4 linked regions of the Saccharomyces cerevisiae S288C genome follow. The protein of the gene in region 4 purifies or fractionates together with the protein of the main gene of each other region. This does not show direct contact. Each region holds a gene or a part of one and is shown on either strand. Other genes may lie near its edges.

Region 1 (5,118 bases), on a different chromosome or scaffold from region 4:
GACGTAGAGTGCAATTTGTTCAAATCATAATGTGCAATATGACCTTCTGGGATAATATCTTCCACGTGATCGTTGAACAACCAGCCGCTTTTTTTCTTATAAGAGTACTTTGGCATTTTGTATTTCTTGGTGAAGGGAAAATAAAATGTGTTTTCCTTTTCGTGTGCCCATTTGTGTTGGGAAATGGACTGGCCATTAAGTCCCAACAGAGATTGATCTCTCTGGAAAAAAATTATATATATTAGAAATATGGCCAAAACAGGTAGAAAAATGTTAACCCACGGGTTCTTTCTTAGGCGGTACGATACAAGAGAAAGTGACATTGTTTCCTAACTTTTTATTCTAGCTCTTTTAAATTCTTCTGTTTGAAAAATACTAAAATTGATGCTATTCTCTTCTTACTTTCACAAAGTGCGGAAGGAAAAATAGGTTCAGAAATAACGGGTCCCAAGAGCGGCTAACAGAAAATAATAAAAGCTTTTCTACCAATTGAGAATCCGCTTGGTTGACGACTTTTCCTCCTTTATTATTCTTGATTTGGTGTTCTGTTTTACTTATATCAAAATACTTCAACGCCAAATCCGCTACAACGATGGAAAGGAAAAAAAAAAAAAAAAAAAAAAGACAAACCAATGCTGTCGTGTCTAGTGACGATAAAGGCTGTAACTATTAATAAGGTGAATACTCACCCTCATCTTTTAGTTTATCAAACTTATATAAAAATTGTGTATGTACTGAATTGTCCTTGGTGTGCGAGTGAGAGTGTGTGTGTGAGTGCGTGTGTGAGTAGGTGAGTGTATGCGAGTGTATGTAAGTTTATAAGTGCCTGTGTGGCTACTATTTTCCGGTTCTGTGATGTGATGATGATTTTTTTGTCAGCTCCTTTGATTCATTCCATACTTTATTACATATGCTCATAAACATTTTCTTGTCTACATTGCTAGAGCTCAGGGGGAACTCGAAGGCAAAAATATGCGATGAGAGTCGGATTTCGCCTTGAAGAAGACTAGGTGATTGCTGCTGCGGCTGCGAGGTCCGCTGGAACGTAGTAAAAGTGGGAGTGGGGACCGCTCCGTCCTCGATGGCCAAGTCCGTACCCTCTTCTTCGTCTTTATTGGGTTCTGCCTCATGCCATGAACTCCTGTCCCGGTTTGTGCTTGTGCTTGTACTTGTGCTTGTGCTTGCGCTTCTGGCTTTCGTGTTGGCCGAGAGTAATGCATCCCGTTCAAAGTGGTATTCTTCAGCAGGTATCATATCTGCTGGGCGTAGATCCGCGCGCTGTTGCGTAGGACCGGCATTCGCACTTGATCCTACGCTAGAATTTCTTGAGCCTTCCTCGGATCGTCTGGTTTTCCCAGTGGAAGCGGTGCCACTCAAAGGCGAATCATATGAGTCGTTAACCCTCTTGTTTCTGTAATTGCTAGCACTATACTCATTTTCTTCGTAGGGCCTAGCGTTGCCACCTTGCATAGCATAAGGAATGGAGGTCCGCGGTCCCATTGGATATGGATACGACACGTAGGGTGTCATTATGGGCTTGTTCAGCATGTGAGGTGGAGGGATACCGTACGGATTATAATATGGTGACATTATGTAGCGATTCATGGGCATGTAAGGGTTCATGGCGCTCATGATGCCCGCCGAGGGCATGTGTGGTTTCCCATAACTATTGCTGCTATTATTCACTTGTATAGATTGTCTAGAACTGGCCTTTCCCAAGTATTGGACACGGGGCTGGAACTTGGAATGCTGAGTAACTTGTGCGGGCGCGCTTTTCACGTTTTGATTAGCAACAGGAGGAAAATGTGCAGAGTTAGACGAAGCCAAGTTGCCGTCCTTAATATTACCACCGTGTGTATTAGTGTTGCTATCCGATAAATTCAAAGGCGCCGGGACTCTGCCCCTCTTCAATGATTTCTTCGGATTCTTCAATGGTTGGGCTTTCCTCTTCTTCGCAGTGGCTGTCTCAGAATCCTCATGATCTGCTTCCTTGTCACCAGAGTCATCCTCCTCAGGGACATGCTCTAGCTCCGACTCCTGACCAACGCTGTTTCCGCCTGGCGAATTCTTAATGTTGCTATCGCTGCTGCCCTTAGCATTTGCTACACTGATTTCTGTATCACCAATTGGATCTTGTGTTGATTTAGCAATGGATGTATCCTCGGCAGTCGTTCTCAAACGGGCTGATACGGCCATTCTCACTTTCTATTTTCTTCTTTGAGAAACAATACCAAAATTTGTTACTGATTTGATTCTTTTTAAGTGCGTTTCTTCTGTATAAGCTAAAAAAACGCAAAGCACAAAGCGGAAAAACTAAACCTAATAAACTTCCCCCAGCGAGAAACAGATGTAAAGAACAACCGTATCAAGTGGCGAAGCAGCTGCTTATAAGTAAAGCCCAAGGCCCACCAACGCATACATGCAAGGCCTGTGCAAGCCGACTGCTGCTTGTTTCATCTTCCGCTCGCGGTGACCCACTCGGGGAATTTCTCACGCTTGCTGCTGCAGGTCGTTGGGCGTTGATTCCTGTTTTTTTCTTTCGTTTTTTCAATCCGCGGGAGTGAGACATGATTAGTGTAGTCCTTGTAGAGTTCCTTATTTATTTTTTTATTAGTTTTCTTGTTTTCGTTTATCAGCAGGGTTTGGTTGTGTTGCTTGGCAGCCCGCAAATTGGTCTTCCCTCCTTGTTATTGTATTTTCTGTTATTAGAGCATACAGAACATAGAAACTCAAGATCAGATACAGTTTTTGCACGCCATGTCTCAAGGTACTTTATATGCTAACTTCAGAATTAGAACTTGGGTCCCAAGAGGTCTTGTCAAGGCTTTGAAGCTGGACGTTAAGGTTGTTACGCCAGATGCCGCCGCTGAACAGTTCGCAAGGGACTTTCCCTTGAAGAAGGTTCCGGCTTTCGTGGGTCCAAAGGGTTACAAGCTAACCGAGGCAATGGCGATTAACTATTATTTAGTAAAGCTTTCACAGGACGACAAGATGAAGACTCAACTTTTAGGTGCCGACGATGACTTAAATGCCCAAGCGCAAATCATCAGATGGCAATCTTTGGCCAACAGTGATCTGTGCATCCAGATTGCCAACACCATCGTTCCCTTGAAGGGCGGCGCCCCCTACAACAAGAAGAGCGTTGATTCTGCGATGGACGCTGTTGACAAGATCGTCGACATCTTCGAGAACAGATTGAAAAACTACACCTATTTGGCTACGGAAAACATCTCCTTGGCCGACTTGGTGGCTGCCTCGATTTTCACCAGATACTTTGAAAGCCTGTTCGGTACTGAATGGAGAGCTCAACATCCAGCCATCGTGAGATGGTTCAACACCGTTAGAGCCTCACCCTTCTTGAAGGATGAATACAAGGATTTCAAGTTCGCTGACAAGCCATTGAGTCCCCCTCAAAAGAAGAAGGAAAAGAAGGCCCCAGCCGCCGCTCCCGCCGCTTCGAAGAAGAAGGAGGAAGCCAAGCCAGCTGCTACCGAAACTGAAACTTCTTCCAAGAAACCAAAGCACCCATTAGAATTATTGGGCAAGTCAACTTTCGTTTTGGATGACTGGAAGAGAAAGTACTCCAATGAAGACACCAGACCAGTTGCTTTACCTTGGTTTTGGGAGCACTACAACCCAGAAGAGTATTCCCTGTGGAAAGTCACCTACAAGTACAACGATGAATTGACTTTGACTTTCATGTCCAACAACTTGGTCGGTGGTTTCTTCAACAGATTGTCCGCCTCTACCAAGTACATGTTCGGTTGTCTGGTAGTCTACGGTGAAAACAACAACAACGGTATTGTTGGTGCAGTTATGGTTAGGGGCCAAGATTACGTTCCAGCTTTCGATGTCGCACCAGATTGGGAATCTTACGACTATGCAAAGTTGGATCCAACTAACGACGACGACAAAGAATTCATCAATAACATGTGGGCCTGGGATAAGCCAGTTTCCGTCAATGGCGAACCAAAGGAAATTGTTGACGGTAAGGTCTTAAAATAATCTCTTCGTACTATCCTTCATGTCGCCTTTTATTATAAAGTATGCTAGGTAGTTTTATCTATATCTTATTTATGACGCAATATAGGGTAACAGAGTTTTTCTGCTCTGAAACTTCCGCAGAAAAAAAATCAAGTTTTCCTTTTCGTATCTTGGATTATTGTTATATAATAGATGCATGTATTATATGTATAGCAGTGATTTGCTTATTTTCTTGATTCTGAGGAATCGAAGAAGTAACTTAGCGTTTCTTCCGTTGAGCAGAGCAGTATAATAATCCTTCAAATTCTTTAGGTTACGGGGTTTTCCTGTTGCGATGACCGAAGAAACTATTACTATAGATTCTATTTCAAATGGGATACTGAATAACCTGTTAACCACATTGATCCAGGACATTGTAGCTCGGGAAACCACTCAACAACAATTGCTGAAGACAAGATATCCGGATCTTCGCAGTTATTATTTCGACCCGAACGGATCTCTCGATATTAATGGACTACAGAAGCAACAAGAGTCCTCTCAGTATATTCACTGTGAGAATTGTGGCAGGGATGTGTCCGCAAACAGACTAGCAGCTCATTTACAGAGATGTTTGAGTAGGGGTGCTAGACGTTGACACTAGGTGGTGGTTTATGGGTAATTGAAAAGGCACAGACAGATTTTAGCCCATTTCTTGTGGGCATAGGTTCATAAAAAAAGCAAGATTCTTACATTTTATGCGGCATATCTGCACATAGAAGTTCATGTAGTTATGTGGTAACATCTCAAAGAGAGAAGGCGAAAACTGTTTTAGCTATTAACTACATGTTTTTATAATAGCACCTCCCATATATGATGCCAAATGATACCTTGCATTCCGTTATGTGGAAGGGTTACACATAAGTACGCTATAACAATGCATTCAATTTTCTACATATCAGAGTAATATGCTGCAACATCACACCCATATAATATAATTTTTTGAAAGAGTTCCTAACTCTTTTTTGTTTTTCCTGTACCTATATACTCAAATAGTCCGCCGCAAGTAGCAGCTCTAACGACATTTCTGTCGGTATTTCAAACTCTGGAATCTCATCATCGTCCTCGCTAACGCCGCTGTACTTCAAATTATAATTT
Region 2 (5,763 bases), on a different chromosome or scaffold from region 4:
TATGAAAATGGCTCTCCATCTGATATTTCGTTCACTTATGATACTCACAACAATGATGAACCTGACAAAAGGCTGATGGAATTAAAATTTCCATCCCAAGATGAAATTCCGGATGACAGATTCTATACTCCAGCAGAGGAACCCACTGCTGAATTTCCGGTGGAAGAACTTCCAAATACTCCGCGAAGTATTAACGTTACAACTTCAAATAACAAGAGCACAGACGATAAGTTGAGTAGCGGTAATATTGATCAAAAACCTACCGAACTGTTAGATGATTTAGAATTCAGTTCATTTAATATAGCATTTGGAAATACCTCCATGAGTACTGACAATATGAAAATATCATCCGACTTAAGTTCGAATAAAACCGTGTTAGGAAATGCTCAGAAAGTTCAAGAGTCTCCTAGTGGACCATTAATCTATGTTTTGCCTCAGAGTAGCACAAAGCATGAGAAAGAGGGGTTCCTTCGAAAGAAACAAAAAGACGAGCCCATTTGGGTTTCCCCTAGCAAAATTGACTTTGCTGATCTAAGTAGGAGAACTAAAGCATTGACGCCAGAGCGTAATACTGTTCCTTTGAAAAACAACGACAGTAGAAAATACAAATATACTGGAGAGGGATCTATCGGTAATATGACAAATATGCTGTTAACTAAAGATGCTTCGTACGCGTACTTAAAAGATTTTGTTGCGTTGAGTGACGATGAAGATGAAGATGGGAAACAGAACTGCGCTGTTGGTGGCCCAGAGAAACTGAAATTTTATTGAGTGTTTTATTGATTTTTTTTTTCTTTTTAATTTAATGCAATGTATACATTTACATAAAATATGGACAAATAAGAAAAAGGGGGAAAAACCTCCCACTTAAGTAAAACTGAATATATTAGATACCTTTACCTACTATCAAAGGTGAATGCTTTTGGATCAATAGGGGTTCCATCGGGGGCAATACCATTTTGGCCGAACTTTCTTTCCATATATAATAGTCTAGCCTTATCGAAATCTACATTATCGTTTTCCATAATTTGTTTAATCTCATTCTTGGAGACATCATCCAAACCACCTCTTACGTCGTTGCTATTCTCCGAGATAATATCGAAATTCCTGGAATGGAGACCGTTTTCTAGGTCATCAGCAAAGGAATCATTTAAACGTATATGTCTATTAAAACGTAATTGTATTCTTGAACGCAGTGCACGAAATTTGTCGGCTATTACAGCTGTTAGTATTTAGATACGGTTTGCACTTTGCATTTTCAAATGCTTAAATATACATACCAACTTTGGTTTTCCGGTGTGCCATAAGAAGGCATAAAGACAATAGCACAACCCAGAGGAGCAATTTGAGATAGAACAAACTCTTCATACTCGTATTTGCAATTTTTGGAAATTAATTGTGTAGCTTTTCTTCTCTTAATTGGTGGCAGTTTTTATATATTCAGTTTAGAATACCCTTTTTTTTTTTTTTTTTTTCTTCGCTTTTCGCATCTCATCGCTGGAAGTGGTGCTCTTTTACAGGGATTAAATAAGGTTATTCTTTTTGGTCAAAATGATAAATATAACTATTAAAGTTATTTATAACCCGCCCGCTTCCTTATTATTTATACGTTATCATAAAGTACACAGGTCATGGTTCGGTTGGTGCTTAGGAATTAATCACGTCTAGCATAAGAGATCTGTAAACTACAACCACCATAATTATAATTATTTAATTTTTGAATACAAAAATCTGCATCTACTAAATTTTCATATTCTACAACAGCAACACCAGTTGGTTGACCATTTTCCTGTGGTTTCAATTCCGCGTTATTGATTTTGCCGATAGGCCCAAACAAGTCGAATAAATCGCTTCTTGCTGTTGAGAATGGTAAATTACTACAATAAATGAAACAGTTTCTATCCCCTCCTGGATTGACACCTTCAGTAAATTTTGCTGCAGTTTCATCAATGTGGACAGCGGCATCCTGCGCAAGACCTGGTTCAGTACCTCTGGTATCTTCAAGGTCCTCACGCCTTTGATTATAACGATCATTGTTCTTTCTCTTGTTGAAACGCCCTTCTCTAACTTCCAAAACTCTACCTTCTACTTCCATGCCGTTGAATGTATCGATAGCTCTAATCATTTCATCCTCAGTAGGATAAATGACAGAACCGAATCCTCTTGAAAATCCGTTGAAATCCAATTCTACATCGGCACGCAAGACATGACCACATTCTTTAAACATATCTTTTAAGGATTGCCAATTCATAGAGTACGGTAAATTGATGATGAACACTTCAAACCCATTATCTATTTCTTCCCTAGTAGCTTTCTTAGAAAATTCCTTGGCAGCTTCAGGAGGAGGATTATCCTGTCTTACCATTAGTTTCCGGTCCATAAAGAGGGCACCATCAAACTTCGATATGGCATCTTGGACAGATTCGTTTTTGGTAAATTCCACAGTCCCCATACCACGGTGATGGCCCTTTGATGTGATAATGTCAGCCTCCACAACTTCGCCCACTGTACCAAACAATTCCTTAAGGTCTTCAGGGGTACAATCAAAAGTCAAGTTTCTCACGAAGATACTATTTTCAAAATTTCTCTTGGTCGCGTCAAATTGCCTTTCTAAGTCTCTTTCAACAATTGGACCTAAAGTACGACCCCTACCGCCACCGCGTCCCCCTCTGAATGATCTGCTTCCTCCTCTGCCACGGCCTCCTCGGCGAGGGGGCCAGTTCCTATCATCGTGGTAGCGGCTGCCACCATAACTCTGATCGTACCGATCATTGAAACGGGAGCCTCGGTCGCGTCTCTGACGACGACTGCCATTACCATTATTACTGCTACTATCGTTATAATCATCGTACCTGTCTCTGTCGTCGCTCAAACGACGACGTACAGGTGATCTTGATCTACTCCTATCATTTCCATACATCCCTAGCTCTCTCTCCATCTTGGCGAAAAAATCCAGCTGATGTTTGTTTCCTTTTCGCCCATAGCTTATTTCTAATGGGAAATCCTCAATATAATTGATTTCATCCAAGCTTTCATTTTTTTTCAATTTTTTTCACCTTCAAGTGAATACATCACTTCCGACGATACCAAAATAATGACAAAATGCCATGAGAAGATCTTATGATATGTAGTAAATGTTAACCACCATTGCTATTTCCTTGCTAGGTTTGCCAAAGCCGTTGGCGAAGGCAGCACTAGACGGCGAGTCACTTCCGTCTCTTTGTCCACTTCCTCTTCACCATCAAATCGAAGCCTGCAAGTGCCGTCCCTCTTGGTTCCGATGACAATTGCAGGATAAAAAGTGGTCGTTTCAGGATATCTTGCCAGAACCTTAGTACCTGGCGGGTAGTTCTTAGTGGGAAAGCCTGGCGGGATCAACAGTAGTTCTTTCCGATTACATTTATACACCTTGCCTGAGTTGCCCAATTCATCAGGTTCAGGATCTCTCACTTCAAATCGTGTACCATCTGCTACGACTTTGAGTACTTCACACTGTATCCATTCGCCGTCGGCACTGCCCCTTCTGGGCTTATAGGCAACCTCTGAGCCCACCAAAATAGGTGCATTTGGGTTGTATTCGCTGGTCCAGTACGATCTGCCAACTTTCCCCACAGCTTTCTTGCCCTGCGACAATGCCATGCGTGTCCCTTCTCCTTCTTCTGCATCTTCAGTATTTTCCTCACTCTTTTCCTCTCGTGACTGATTCAACATCAACGACAAATTGGAACGTACATTGTCAAGGATTCGGTGCACTCTGTTGACGTTTTCCATGTGTTCTTGGAAAGTGTTGAGATGCAATTGCAGCTGATCCTTTGACATATTAAGGAAATTTAGTTTTTTTGTTTGCAGCTCATCATCAAAGGGAATGACCTCGTTGGCATTGTATATGTCTTGCAAGGACGACACTACAACATCCCAATATCCGTCCATAATAAGAAAGGTGACCGTGTGTTTTGCTGTGAAAAACTCCCCCCACTTAGAGAAGCCACCAAGGTATTGTGTCTTTAACCTTTTTCGTATCTGGCAAAATCGAAGAGGAAAGCAGAAAACCAAAAGAAAAAAATAGTTTAGTAACGCGTCACCTCGTACAAACGTACAATCATAGCAACTTATGAGTAAATAGGCTCATGGTTATAGATACGTTATATAGATGTATAGAGGAGAGTCCCGAGGGCGATCGCAAGGCCGAGAGACTAACCTAACCAGGTGGTAGTTGGGAAATGTCGACGATTTCGCTGATCTTTTCGTCTTCGTCGGCAGCTTCCTCGGTGCTTGTCTTCAAAGGAGTTCTTGGCAATGCCATCATACCGCTTCTTGCACACTCTAGGACACCGAATGGCTCGACCAACTTCAAGAAGGCAGAGATACGTGTGGGTTTTGCAGACAACTCCACAATACAGCTTGTTTCGCTGATGTCGACGACACGACCTCCAAAGTTGTTGGTCAAGTTGGTGATATCGTTCAAATGCTCGTGCTTCAACCTTAATACCTCACTGGCGGGCAAGTTGGCAGGGTGGAATTGCTTTTCTCTGATTTCGGCGACCAATTCTTGGGAGTCAGCGGCGCCAGCATTGGTGGAAGTGTGGTGGTGCAATAGTAGGTCTTCGAAGTATTCAGTACCCAATAGAGAGATTCTGGCCATCACTAGCTCTCTTTTGATGATCTCAGAATTGGTATAGTCTAGGACGGCGTAGACGGGGACCAAGTCTTCGATTTGTCTGCGTGCTTGTTCGACTACGCCATCTTGCCCTTGCAAAACAATGGTCATTCTACTTAGGTCTTTGACCTCGGTGTTGCACACGACCAACGAATCGATGTTAAAGCCTCTGGCAGCTAACGTACCCGAGACTCTGGACAAGACACCGGGTTCGTTTTGCACCAAACAGTTCAAGACATGCTGTTTTCTTGGTTGACGAGAAGGCGCTGGTGTTTCGTAAATGATGGATGAAACGGCACTGTTGGCATTCCAGGAAGGAGTGTCTAGTGTGGGCAAGGGAGGTCTTGTTGCGTGTCTGTGCATCTGCTTGTACGCCAACGCGGAGGTCGACGAGGAACTGCAACGCACCATGGTAGCACATGAAGAAGCAACCACCCTGCGGTGGCCGCTTTGCAATAACGATCTCAGCATTAGAAAGACTGGGTTAGTGAGCTCAGATGTTCTAAAGATTCTGTATATACGAACTATGTACTTCCATATATACCATTCCCCGTTCTTGTTAGGTAAAGGTTAAAAAAATATTTTTTATGGCACTTCGGCGATGCGAAAGAAAGTGAGTCACGATAACGGTGAGGTGATTCGTTGGATGTGCCATCGCACAAGGAATTGCTGGCGTGCTAATTCACGACCTTGCTTGACAAAAGTATCGAGGGGAATGGTGCCACGGTGCAGCATCCTAGATAAGCACTCAATGGTGTCCGTGAGAGCGTAGTCCTGGGCAACGAGGTTGTATAGTTGATTGAGTCCATCTGTTTTGGCCACTGCTATGGAGTTCACGTCCTCGTCATCCACATGCGAAGTTGAGCTAAACTGTTGGACTTTGGCCCTATTTGCGGTCAGGACGTCTATCTGTGCGTTTAGCGAGTGCATGGTCTGCTCAATAGCCTGCTCAACGGCTCGTAAATGGTTCTTGTCGATGGCGATTATTTCATGGAATCTGGCAATTGATTCTTGCATGACGGTCTGTCTCGTCAGTATCTTGTCCGCTACATAGTCCACATCCTCTCTGTATAACTCATTGACTACGGTTTGTAGATTTTGTAGCA
Region 3 (5,312 bases), on a different chromosome or scaffold from region 4:
ATTTACATTACCAAAACAAATCGAGGAACAGCAGTAATAATTTTGGAAAATCTTCAAATGGTGATCCCTATAGTTTCGGCAGGAGAAGGTCTCAAGTTGTGTTCGCCGATTCAACTCCCGAGAATATTGAGCATGAAATAATAGCACAAAAGATTAGACCGCTATTAAGAAATAGACGCCGTTCGAGCATAAAACCACATACACCTTTCATTTCCAAACTAAACACACACCAAGATTCATCCTACCTTTCCCCCAATACAACCTCAACGACAACCCCATCAAATAACAACAGTAACTCAAACCAGGCGAAGATAGATTTAGAGAAACTTACTGCGACAAGTGAGCCAACTTCAAGAAGAGCTTCTCGTCTGTCTGTATCGAAAGAATCAAGTATTAGATCGACACTTTTCCCAAACAAAAACTATTTGATCGTCACTACAAACCCTAACTCTAAAGCTACGTCGGTTTCCACCTCCCCTAAGCTAGAAGAACAGATGAATGTAAGTTCAAATCCGATAGTATTATCGGACAAGGAGAAACATAGAGTAGCTTCACAACACCTGAATGGGGAATCGTCGCCACAACTTGTTCCCCATTCTCATCATCAACCTCACTCAGATACAGACGAAGAAGACTGGGAATCAATTGGTGCAGCTTCTCTGAGAAATAACAGTTTAGCACCTAACATAGACAGCGTAGCAAGTTCTACTAATGGCGTAGTTAGCCCTAAACCTACAAATCCAAGTTTTACTAACTCTCAGAATGGAGATATTGAGCCTCCCCTACAACACGACCAACAGAAACATGAACAGCAGCCAAGAAATGGGGAAGACAATAGTGCTGCGTTTTTATTAATGAGCTTAAAATCTTAAGAATTCTTTACCAGTTCCATGAAATAACAAAAAAACAGTAAAAAAAAAATGAAAATGAAAAAAGAATACATATTTTGTTTTAATGAAAGTTTGTTACCAAGTTTTGCTTTAAGTTTATCATCTCTGAATAATTATTTTGTCTTTTTTGTCACCACTTTTTTCTTGTCACATTTTTTTCTTCTTTTCATATTCATTTCATATATTAGCCCGTTCAATATATTTCAAAAGACCCAGTATTTTTCACATTTTACCCTTCCGATTCTTTGTGTAGTATATACAAATTACAAAAACACACACTGAGAAAAACATGCACTAATAAAAAATAAGATATTATGTACTAACGTAGGAAAGCAGGTACAAAACCTCTGCTGTAATTTCACGATTTTCTTTATTGATCATTAATTTTCTTCTTTTTTTTTTTTGTATTATGTATAAATGAAAATAACAATAAAAAAGGAAGTAGATGCACGCTGCACCAGTAAAATAGCTACATAAATTTCTAGTCAACAGTGTCGGCAGTATGTTTGACCTCTTCATGGTTATCTCCGCCACCATCACGGTCGTTTAAGGACAGATTCTCCATAGTGGCGTCTTCATGGTCCTGTTCGTATTGATCTTTCAAACTTTGAAAGTCTTTCTCGTTTTCTAAGATCGCTTTTATTCCAATAATGTCAATGTCATTAAACACTTCCAAAAGTTTCTCAGCCTCTTCAATTGGTATATCTTCAAAGACTTTATTAATATTATCCAAATTTTTGGTCATTATGGCTTCTTGCATTTTTTCCGGTATTAAAGTTTTGAAAACTTTAACCTTTTTCATCTCTTCTGGATCTTTAGAATTGAAGTCTGGCAAGTTTACTTCTAATTCTGTAGAATCATCTAGAGATTTCAATTGAATCGTCTCTACTCCTTCAGCATTCGATTCATCCATTTCCTCTTGTTGTAAAATTTTGGAACGTTTTTGAATGTGCAAAAATTTTTCTTGAACTGATCTCAAAAAAGACTCTTTACCCATTGGCTTGTCCTTGTTGAAGATAACCTTCTCGAAAAACATATTAATGACATTTGATAGTTCCATTGGATTTAAATATGGAATTTTCTTCATGTCGTAGATTTCCTTAATGTAGGCCATCAATTCGGATTGATGAATGACTTGCAAAGTCATCTTATCGTCACCATGTAACTGATACTCAAAGGCCTTCATCATTAAGGCGTCCTTTTGTTGTTCTGAAATAATAGGTAAGTGCTCCAGTAAGAATTTCTGAGATTTTGAGTACTCATTAATGGATATTTTACCGAATTCTTCAGTTTCCTTGGCCAGTTTCATAGGATCATCTTTAAAATCGATGAAAGTTTGCGGAACTGATGATTTTGCTAGTTTATTAAGAATATTAGACTCTGCAGCGCTCGAAAGAGCTTCTGAAGGAGTTGCTTCCAGTGGCTTAGCCCCCCCCTTTTGCTTGTTCATAAAGCTACTATCAAAGCCTGTATGAATGTCTTCAGATGAAATGTGTGCATTTTTCTCCTTGTATAATTCATCTAATTTCTTCTTAGCCTCTACAGTTACTGAATCGATCTTAGCCCTATGTTTCAAAATAGCATCCCTTATGAGAGATGGGCTCTTCGAGTCTTTGCCCTCTTTGTCTAAATCTTTTGCTAATTGTTCAAAAAGATCTTCAACCATTTCATTGTATGTTGCAATCTCAGGATCAACATTTTCCCCTTTACTTTTCTCCATCTTATCAAAATTTGCATTCAAGAATTTGGTAACGGCTGGCAAATCAGTAAGAGAACTTTCAGGTAAATTACTCAAAATTCTGTCCACTCGTTTGTTCAAATGAGAATACATATCCACTTGTGTCTCCAAATTTTTGATATCTTGGTTCCTTTTGAATCGCTGTTCATGGATACTCTGTTGTTTCCATTTAATGAACGATTTCTTGTCCACATTAGGATGCACCTCGACATCAGAATCATCTGATAGTTCAATTTTATCCCACTTAGAGTAATCAATGGCCATTTTTGACTTATGTAGTTGTTCCGTAGTACGATAGCTCGATAGTTTTTTTATCGTGATGAAGTGTTGGTGCAACGGAGGTGTTCTCTTATGTGGCAATCTTTCATGATCCTTCAGTAAAAAATCGTGAAAAACGGATGTTCAAAAAGCGTGTCAAATTTGCGTGAATAAGTGCTCTAATCAATCTAATAACGAATCGTGTATTTAAAAGAGTTGCATACTGCTACACTATATACATATTTCATTTCCATTTGTTAGCCACTAACGATAAAAGTCTGGGCGACCTATATTGAGCCCGTATTCAGCAACAGCGCTACTGAGATCGTTCACCGTCAGAACAACTTTGCTTGCTGTAGTCTTCTCATTCTGTTGATGTTGTTGTTGTGAAATCTGCTGCACGCCAGGCTGTTGCTGTCCTTGCAATAGCTGCCTAGCTCTCGCCTGACTGTTGTTAGCATTAGATACCGCTACGGAAGACCTGATCCTGGAATATTCGTAGGCATCCTTAGCTATATCACTAACAAATTTCTGAGTAGCAAGTGCTAAAAGTCGTTTCACTCGTACATCTGCTACGTTAAACCCGTTTTTGGTTAAATAGTAGTCTATTACTGCATCGGGAATGATAGGAGGAGTACTGTCCATCATCTCTAGAATCTCCTCCAGAGTCTTATCTTTTCTTGTAAATTCGGGTATACCAAATGCATTTTCACTCCCATCATCCACTACAGCCTCTCTCTTTTGCTTCTTCTTCATGTTTTCTGCGACAGAGTCATCATTATCATTGTCCCCATCATCGGCTCCCGCAACCGATGGAAAAGGTGTTTCTAATTGTCCTTCTTGATTATCATCAAACTCCGCATCGTAATCTTCCTCAAAATCCATAGTTTCAGTTATTCTTTCCTCTGTTCTTCGCTGCCAGTTCTTTTTAGCTTAGGCATGAATGCTGAATCTGCAGCTTCTTTAATTTTTCGTTTCTGTTTTCAACTTGAAAAAACAAAAGTATCAACTCCTACTATTCAACTAAAGTAACAAAAATAAGCTGCGTTAAAGCTGCTAAACTAGGAAAGAAGTTTCTGTTGAAATAAAGTAGCGAAAAAAAGTTTGGTACCATGGATAGGTTTCAAATTGGCGACGAGCAACTACTTCGTTTTTATCAGTTGAAGACTATTAATCCGACCCATTCCTGGGCCCAAGATTCCTCAAAATTGAATAATGAAGAGGCTACAAGCAATGAACTTGGCGTTGAAACGTCATTCGACATATTAAAAGACTTCAAATATGGCAATCAAATTAGCATTGACAAGGAATCGAGAGCATATTTAAACGATGAGTCGTTAAGTTATATTAGAGATCCCTTGAATGGACAAGAAATGTCTAAAGAATTGCAACATCTACCAAATGATTCAATGCGGTTGAACTATCTTGTCAACAGTAAACAATTCAACGTCAAAGCCTTTCTGAGAGATATGCACAAACAAGACTCTTTCAATGATCTAAATAACTCACTGGACAGGTTGGACAGTGATATACAAGACCAATCTATACATTTGAAACAATTGGTTGGTAAAAATTTCACCAAGTATGTTAAGATTAAAAACAAGTTAGACCAAATTTACAAAGAATTTGACGAGAAAACGAATGAAAAAAACCAATGTGATTCACCAAAAGAAAATCAAATAAATGTGGAAAGCTTAAATAAAAAGGTCGACGAGGTTATTAGAACAACAACTTTCAAACTGAAACCGCTAATGGATAACTATCAGAAAATTTTGAATTACCAGGCCACCAAAAAATTTATTGAATTGAATAAGTTTTACTTCAACCTACCCAAATCTTTAAAGAGATGTTTGACTAACAACGATTTCAATGAGTTCATTATCGAATATTCAAAAGGTCTTACGCTCCGTCGCCGTTTCAACCAGAGTTCAGATGCTTCACAATCTCTTGTTATAAAAAGAATTTGGACTCAAATAGAAAATTTATTAGTCACGTATAAAGATCTGATTTGGAACAGTTTAATAAATTCAAATTTTAACATTGACCAACCCCAAGAAACAATTTTGTCCCTCTTTTCAAAATTGTTGAACTTAGAAAACTTTATCAATAATAATCAAAGAGAAAGTGAAAGTGGTAACAAGAACACAACTTCATCATCCAATGAAAATCCAATCCTAAGATGGATGTCCATCAAAATGAATGGCTTTCAGAATGAACTGAACGAGTTGTCTGGCCATATGATTAGTAAAATCATTCATTCTCAAAGGCTTATATTACAAAACAATACTAATCAAGATAAAAGTCAAGGGTGCGTGGAGCTGTCGTATTATTTGAAAATCAATCAATTATTCCAAATAATAAGTGATACGGGCAAGGATAGTGAAGGTTTGAAAAGTACCGTTGAACCCAATAAAGTTAACACCATT
Region 4 (4,298 bases):
TAAGAAGAGGCGAGGGTTAGAATCAAGACTTTTAAAGAAACTTAATATTATACTGTTGCCTTTTTTTTATAGTTATTTTATATAGTGTATTTCTAAAGAAAAAGATGTGTTATTTTTTAAACATCCACCTTTTCGTGTCCTTATAAGATTCATGAGACTTTTTATATATCTCCTTCTCCATTTCTTCTAGTTTCAGTAAAAATGTGCTAGTTGCTATATTAGTGTTCGCTGAATTTTTTCCGGTCGAGTCTGCATTGAGATCAATCGATAAACTACTAGCATGATGATTAAGTTCTTGGGCACGTTGCAAAAGTAGCTCACTAACGACATTGGCCAGTTCTTTTTCGCTAAACAACATTATCCATTTTATGGCTAGACTGAAGAAATGCGAATTTATGGAATGCAAGTCCAGAGCCACCGGATCGGTCTTTATAGCGTTCATAACTTTCGTAGAAAACATATCTGGTGGCAGGAGTTCCACAAAAGGTACAGGTTCTTCATCTACCAAGGCTTCGTCACCACCCACAATTGCAAGGATTCTTGCTAACCATAGTGGCAGGCTTAGTTTAGTGTTTTTCGTTATGGGTCGTCCTGGGTTGTTTTCCAAATAACCAAGACCAGGAATATCATATTGAAATTTACAAGGAAACTCTGTCCCATCTGCTAGGACATCATCAATGTCATAGTAACCCATCCTTTCTATGCTTGCCCTTCTATTGTAAAAATATAATACCAAGAACAAAGTTGGCATCAATTCCATTGCGATTTTCACTACGCGTCGGCATTTATCTCGGAGAACCCGAAGCGATGGGTATATCATTTATAGATATAAAAGGGAAGTGACTCCAACAACTGAAAAACCGTTGTCTCCATCTACTACTTCAAAGACTTCATCAAGTAATAGTATAATCAATATGGTCTGTGATACACTGGTATATCATCCCTCCGTGACGAGATTCGTCAAATTTCTAGATGGCTCAGCTGGCAGAGAAAAGGTTCTCAGATTACTGCAGTATTTAGCAAGATTTTTAGCAGTACAGAACTCATCTCTCTTGGCCAGGCAATTACAAGCTCAATTTACCACAGTCAGAAAATTTCTGAGGTTTCTGAAGCCTTTAAACCACTTGCAGGCAGCTGCTAAATTCTACGATAACAAGTTGGCCAGCGACAACGTCGTTAGAGTCTGCAATGTTTTGAAAAACATCTTCTTTGCTGCATATTTGTCGTTAGATCAAGTCAATCTTTTGAGAATTTTGAAAGTGATTCCTGTAACCGTTCTTACCGGTAAGAAAATACCTCGCTGGTCCAATTGGTGTTGGCTGTTCGGCCTCCTAAGTGGTCTGGCTATGGATCTTCGTAAGATCCAAACATCTCATGCCCAGATTGCTGCGTTTGTCAAGGCAAAATCACAAAGCCAAGGCGATGAGCATGAGGATCACAAGAAGGTACTAGGGAAGGCATACCAAGACAGGTACACCGCGTTAAGAAGACTATTCTGGGATGCTGCAGATTCGTTCATCGTCCTCAACAACCTAGGGTACTTGTCTAGCAACGAAGAGTATGTTGCGCTATCCGGTGTTGTCACATCTATCCTTGGTATGCAAGACATGTGGAAAGCTACATAGCTTTCTTTTCATCTTTTTTTTTTATTTGGCTATTCTCCGCTTATGTTTGATTCGACCCTTCTTTATAATTTATTTCTTATGTATATGACCCAATGTTCCATGTCCATACCTGTATAAGATTCTGAGTGACAATAGTTCTTGTTATCCGCACCATTAATAACTAACTAACTATCTTTAAAGTAAAACTGGGATCGCTATAACTGCTTAGTTCTGTTACCCGCTCGTGATACCTGACGACCATTAATCATGAAGAAGTGTTAAGATGATCGACCAGCAGAGATAAAAGAATGAGAAAAGTAGCCTTCAAGAGGATTAGGAAGGAATAGTTACGGTTAATTTGCGCCTATATATTTCAGGGATGAGTGCCAATAGCCCGACAGGAAACGATCCCCATGTATTTGGTATTCCTGTGAACGCAACACCATCCAATATGGGTTCGCCAGGCAGTCCAGTTAATGTACCACCTCCTATGAACCCAGCGGTAGCAAATGTAAATCATCCTGTTATGAGGACAAACAGTAATAGTAATGCCAATGAAGGTACTAGGACTTTAACCAGGGAGCAAATACAGCAATTGCAGCAAAGACAACGATTATTACTACAGCAAAGACTACTCGAACAACAGAGAAAACAGCAAGCACTCCAAAACTATGAGGCTCAGTTTTATCAAATGCTTATGACCTTAAACAAAAGACCTAAAAGACTTTACAATTTTGTGGAAGATGCAGACTCAATTTTGAAAAAATATGAGCAATATTTACACAGTTTTGAATTTCATATTTATGAGAATAATTATAAGATTTGCGCTCCTGCAAATAGCAGGTTACAACAGCAGCAAAAGCAACCCGAGCTGACTAGTGACGGTTTAATATTAACCAAAAATAACGAAACTTTGAAAGAATTTTTAGAGTACGTCGCAAGAGGAAGGATTCCTGATGCTATTATGGAAGTCTTAAGGGACTGTAATATCCAATTTTACGAAGGAAATCTTATTTTACAGGTTTATGACCATACTAATACAGTTGATGTCACCCCCAAAGAGAACAAGCCTAATTTGAACAGCTCTTCTTCCCCTTCAAATAATAATAGCACACAGGACAATTCCAAGATTCAACAACCATCCGAACCTAATAGTGGTGTGGCAAATACAGGCGCAAACACAGCAAATAAGAAGGCATCCTTCAAACGACCTAGAGTATATCGAACATTGTTGAAGCCTAATGATTTGACGACGTATTATGACATGATGTCTTATGCAGATAATGCCAGGTTTTCTGATAGCATTTATCAACAGTTTGAATCTGAAATTTTAACACTTACCAAGAGGAACTTGTCACTAAGTGTGCCATTAAATCCATATGAGCACCGAGACATGTTGGAGGAAACAGCTTTTTCAGAACCTCATTGGGATAGTGAAAAAAAATCCTTCATTCACGAACATCGTGCTGAGTCTACGAGAGAAGGCACGAAGGGCGTTGTAGGGCATATCGAAGAACGCGATGAATTTCCGCAACATAGTTCAAATTATGAACAGTTGATGTTGATCATGAATGAACGCACAACAACGATAACCAACTCCACGTTTGCTGTTTCGTTAACCAAGAATGCGATGGAGATTGCTAGCTCCAGTTCCAACGGGGTACGTGGAGCTTCGTCCTCAACTTCGAATTCCGCATCAAATACAAGGAATAACAGTTTGGCTAATGGCAATCAAGTAGCTTTGGCAGCGGCAGCGGCTGCGGCTGCAGTGGGATCTACCATGGGTAACGATAATAATCAATTTAGCAGGCTGAAATTTATTGAACAATGGAGAATAAATAAAGAAAAAAGAAAACAGCAGGCTTTAAGTGCAAACATCAATCCAACCCCCTTCAACGCTAGAATATCGATGACAGCACCATTGACTCCACAGCAACAGCTACTTCAAAGACAACAGCAGGCCTTGGAGCAACAACAGAATGGTGGAGCCATGAAAAACGCAAATAAACGGAGTGGTAACAATGCCACCAGTAACAATAATAATAATAATAATAATTTAGATAAACCAAAGGTTAAGCGACCTAGAAAAAATGCAAAAAAAAGCGAGAGCGGTACACCAGCTCCTAAAAAGAAAAGAATGACTAAGAAGAAACAGAGCGCAAGTAGCACGCCCTCTTCTACTACAATGTCATAATCTACTTAAATAGAGTTATCATTCCTTATATATATATATATATATATATATATATATATATATATATTGTATTAAAGTACATCATTATTTAAAAAAAATTCTCACTTGGGCATCTCACCTCTGTGCTCAAGCAAAAGAATCTTTTGGCTCATTTTCCAGAAGATATTTTATTAGTTCGTAGATATTTTGTCTATCACTAACTGTATGAATCCATATACCATAGACCTCATGCTTCAAGTTCTTAATAATGACCAATTCATCTTTCACCTCTACCCCCATGCACTCTAGTGGGTTAAGTGTATCCTCTTCTGCATTAAATACTTTTCTTTTATTTACGACACTATTGGGAACAATGCCCATAGAAAAATTGTCAGGATTAATTCGGTTTAATATGATCAATCCATAATTGTATATGTCCTTTCCACTTAAAGTTTTGCCGCAATTATATGTTAGCGAATCATTACTTTTATAAGAGTTCCCATTTCCACTGCTATTCCTGT

What was found.
Region 1: the proteins of SPT20 (region 4) and SGF11 purify together in Saccharomyces cerevisiae (affinity purification with mass spectrometry; 9 studies listed by BioGRID). This does not show direct contact.
Region 2: the proteins of SPT20 (region 4) and SGF29 purify together in Saccharomyces cerevisiae (affinity purification with mass spectrometry; 8 studies listed by BioGRID, with this or other methods). This does not show direct contact.
Region 3: the proteins of SPT20 (region 4) and TAF10 purify together in Saccharomyces cerevisiae (affinity purification with mass spectrometry; 11 studies listed by BioGRID, with this or other methods). This does not show direct contact.

What each region holds. Positions count from the first base shown.
Region 1 is NC_001148.4:461,644-466,761, forward strand, and holds SGF11 (SAGA histone acetyltransferase complex subunit SGF11), read left to right. Parts: upstream 1-4,318; coding exon 4,319-4,618; downstream 4,619-5,118. Other genes in the region: mannosyltransferase complex subunit MNN9, read right to left, coding at 1-323; DIG1 (Dig1p), read right to left, coding at 838-2,196; CAM1 (translation elongation factor EF1B gamma), read left to right, coding at 2,758-4,005; ELC1 (elongin C), read right to left, coding at 5,001-5,118. UniProt on the Saccharomyces cerevisiae protein: Component of the transcription coactivator SAGA complex. SAGA acts as a general cofactor required for essentially all RNA polymerase II transcription. At the promoters, SAGA is required for transcription pre-initiation complex (PIC) recruitment.
Region 2 is NC_001135.5:100,421-106,183, forward strand, and holds SGF29 (Sgf29p), read right to left. Parts: upstream 3,931-5,763; coding exon 3,151-3,930; downstream 1-3,150. Other genes in the region: BUD3 (Bud3p), read left to right, coding at 1-771; YCL012C (uncharacterized protein), read right to left, coding at 897-1,213, 1,281-1,368; GBP2 (single-stranded telomeric DNA-binding/mRNA-binding protein), read right to left, coding at 1,655-2,938; ILV6 (acetolactate synthase regulatory subunit), read right to left, coding at 4,199-5,128; ubiquitin-binding ESCRT-I subunit protein STP22, read right to left, coding at 5,276-5,763. UniProt on the Saccharomyces cerevisiae protein: Chromatin reader component of the transcription coactivator SAGA complex. SAGA acts as a general cofactor required for essentially all RNA polymerase II transcription.
Region 3 is NC_001136.10:787,908-793,219, reverse strand, and holds TAF10 (Taf10p), read right to left. Parts: upstream 3,772-5,312; coding exon 3,151-3,771; downstream 1-3,150. Other genes in the region: STB3 (Stb3p), read left to right, coding at 1-872; Hsp90 co-chaperone CDC37, read right to left, coding at 1,372-2,892; exocyst subunit SEC5, read left to right, coding at 3,999-5,312.
Region 4 is NC_001147.6:45,260-49,557, reverse strand, and holds SPT20 (Spt20p), read left to right. Parts: upstream 1-1,983; coding exon 1,984-3,798; downstream 3,799-4,298. Other genes in the region: CTR9 (Ctr9p), read left to right, coding at 1-3; DNA replication protein PSF3, read right to left, coding at 110-694; PEX11 (Pex11p), read left to right, coding at 915-1,625; DCP1 (Dcp1p), read right to left, coding at 3,925-4,298. UniProt on the Saccharomyces cerevisiae protein: Component of the transcription coactivator SAGA complex. SAGA acts as a general cofactor required for essentially all RNA polymerase II transcription. At the promoters, SAGA is required for transcription pre-initiation complex (PIC) recruitment.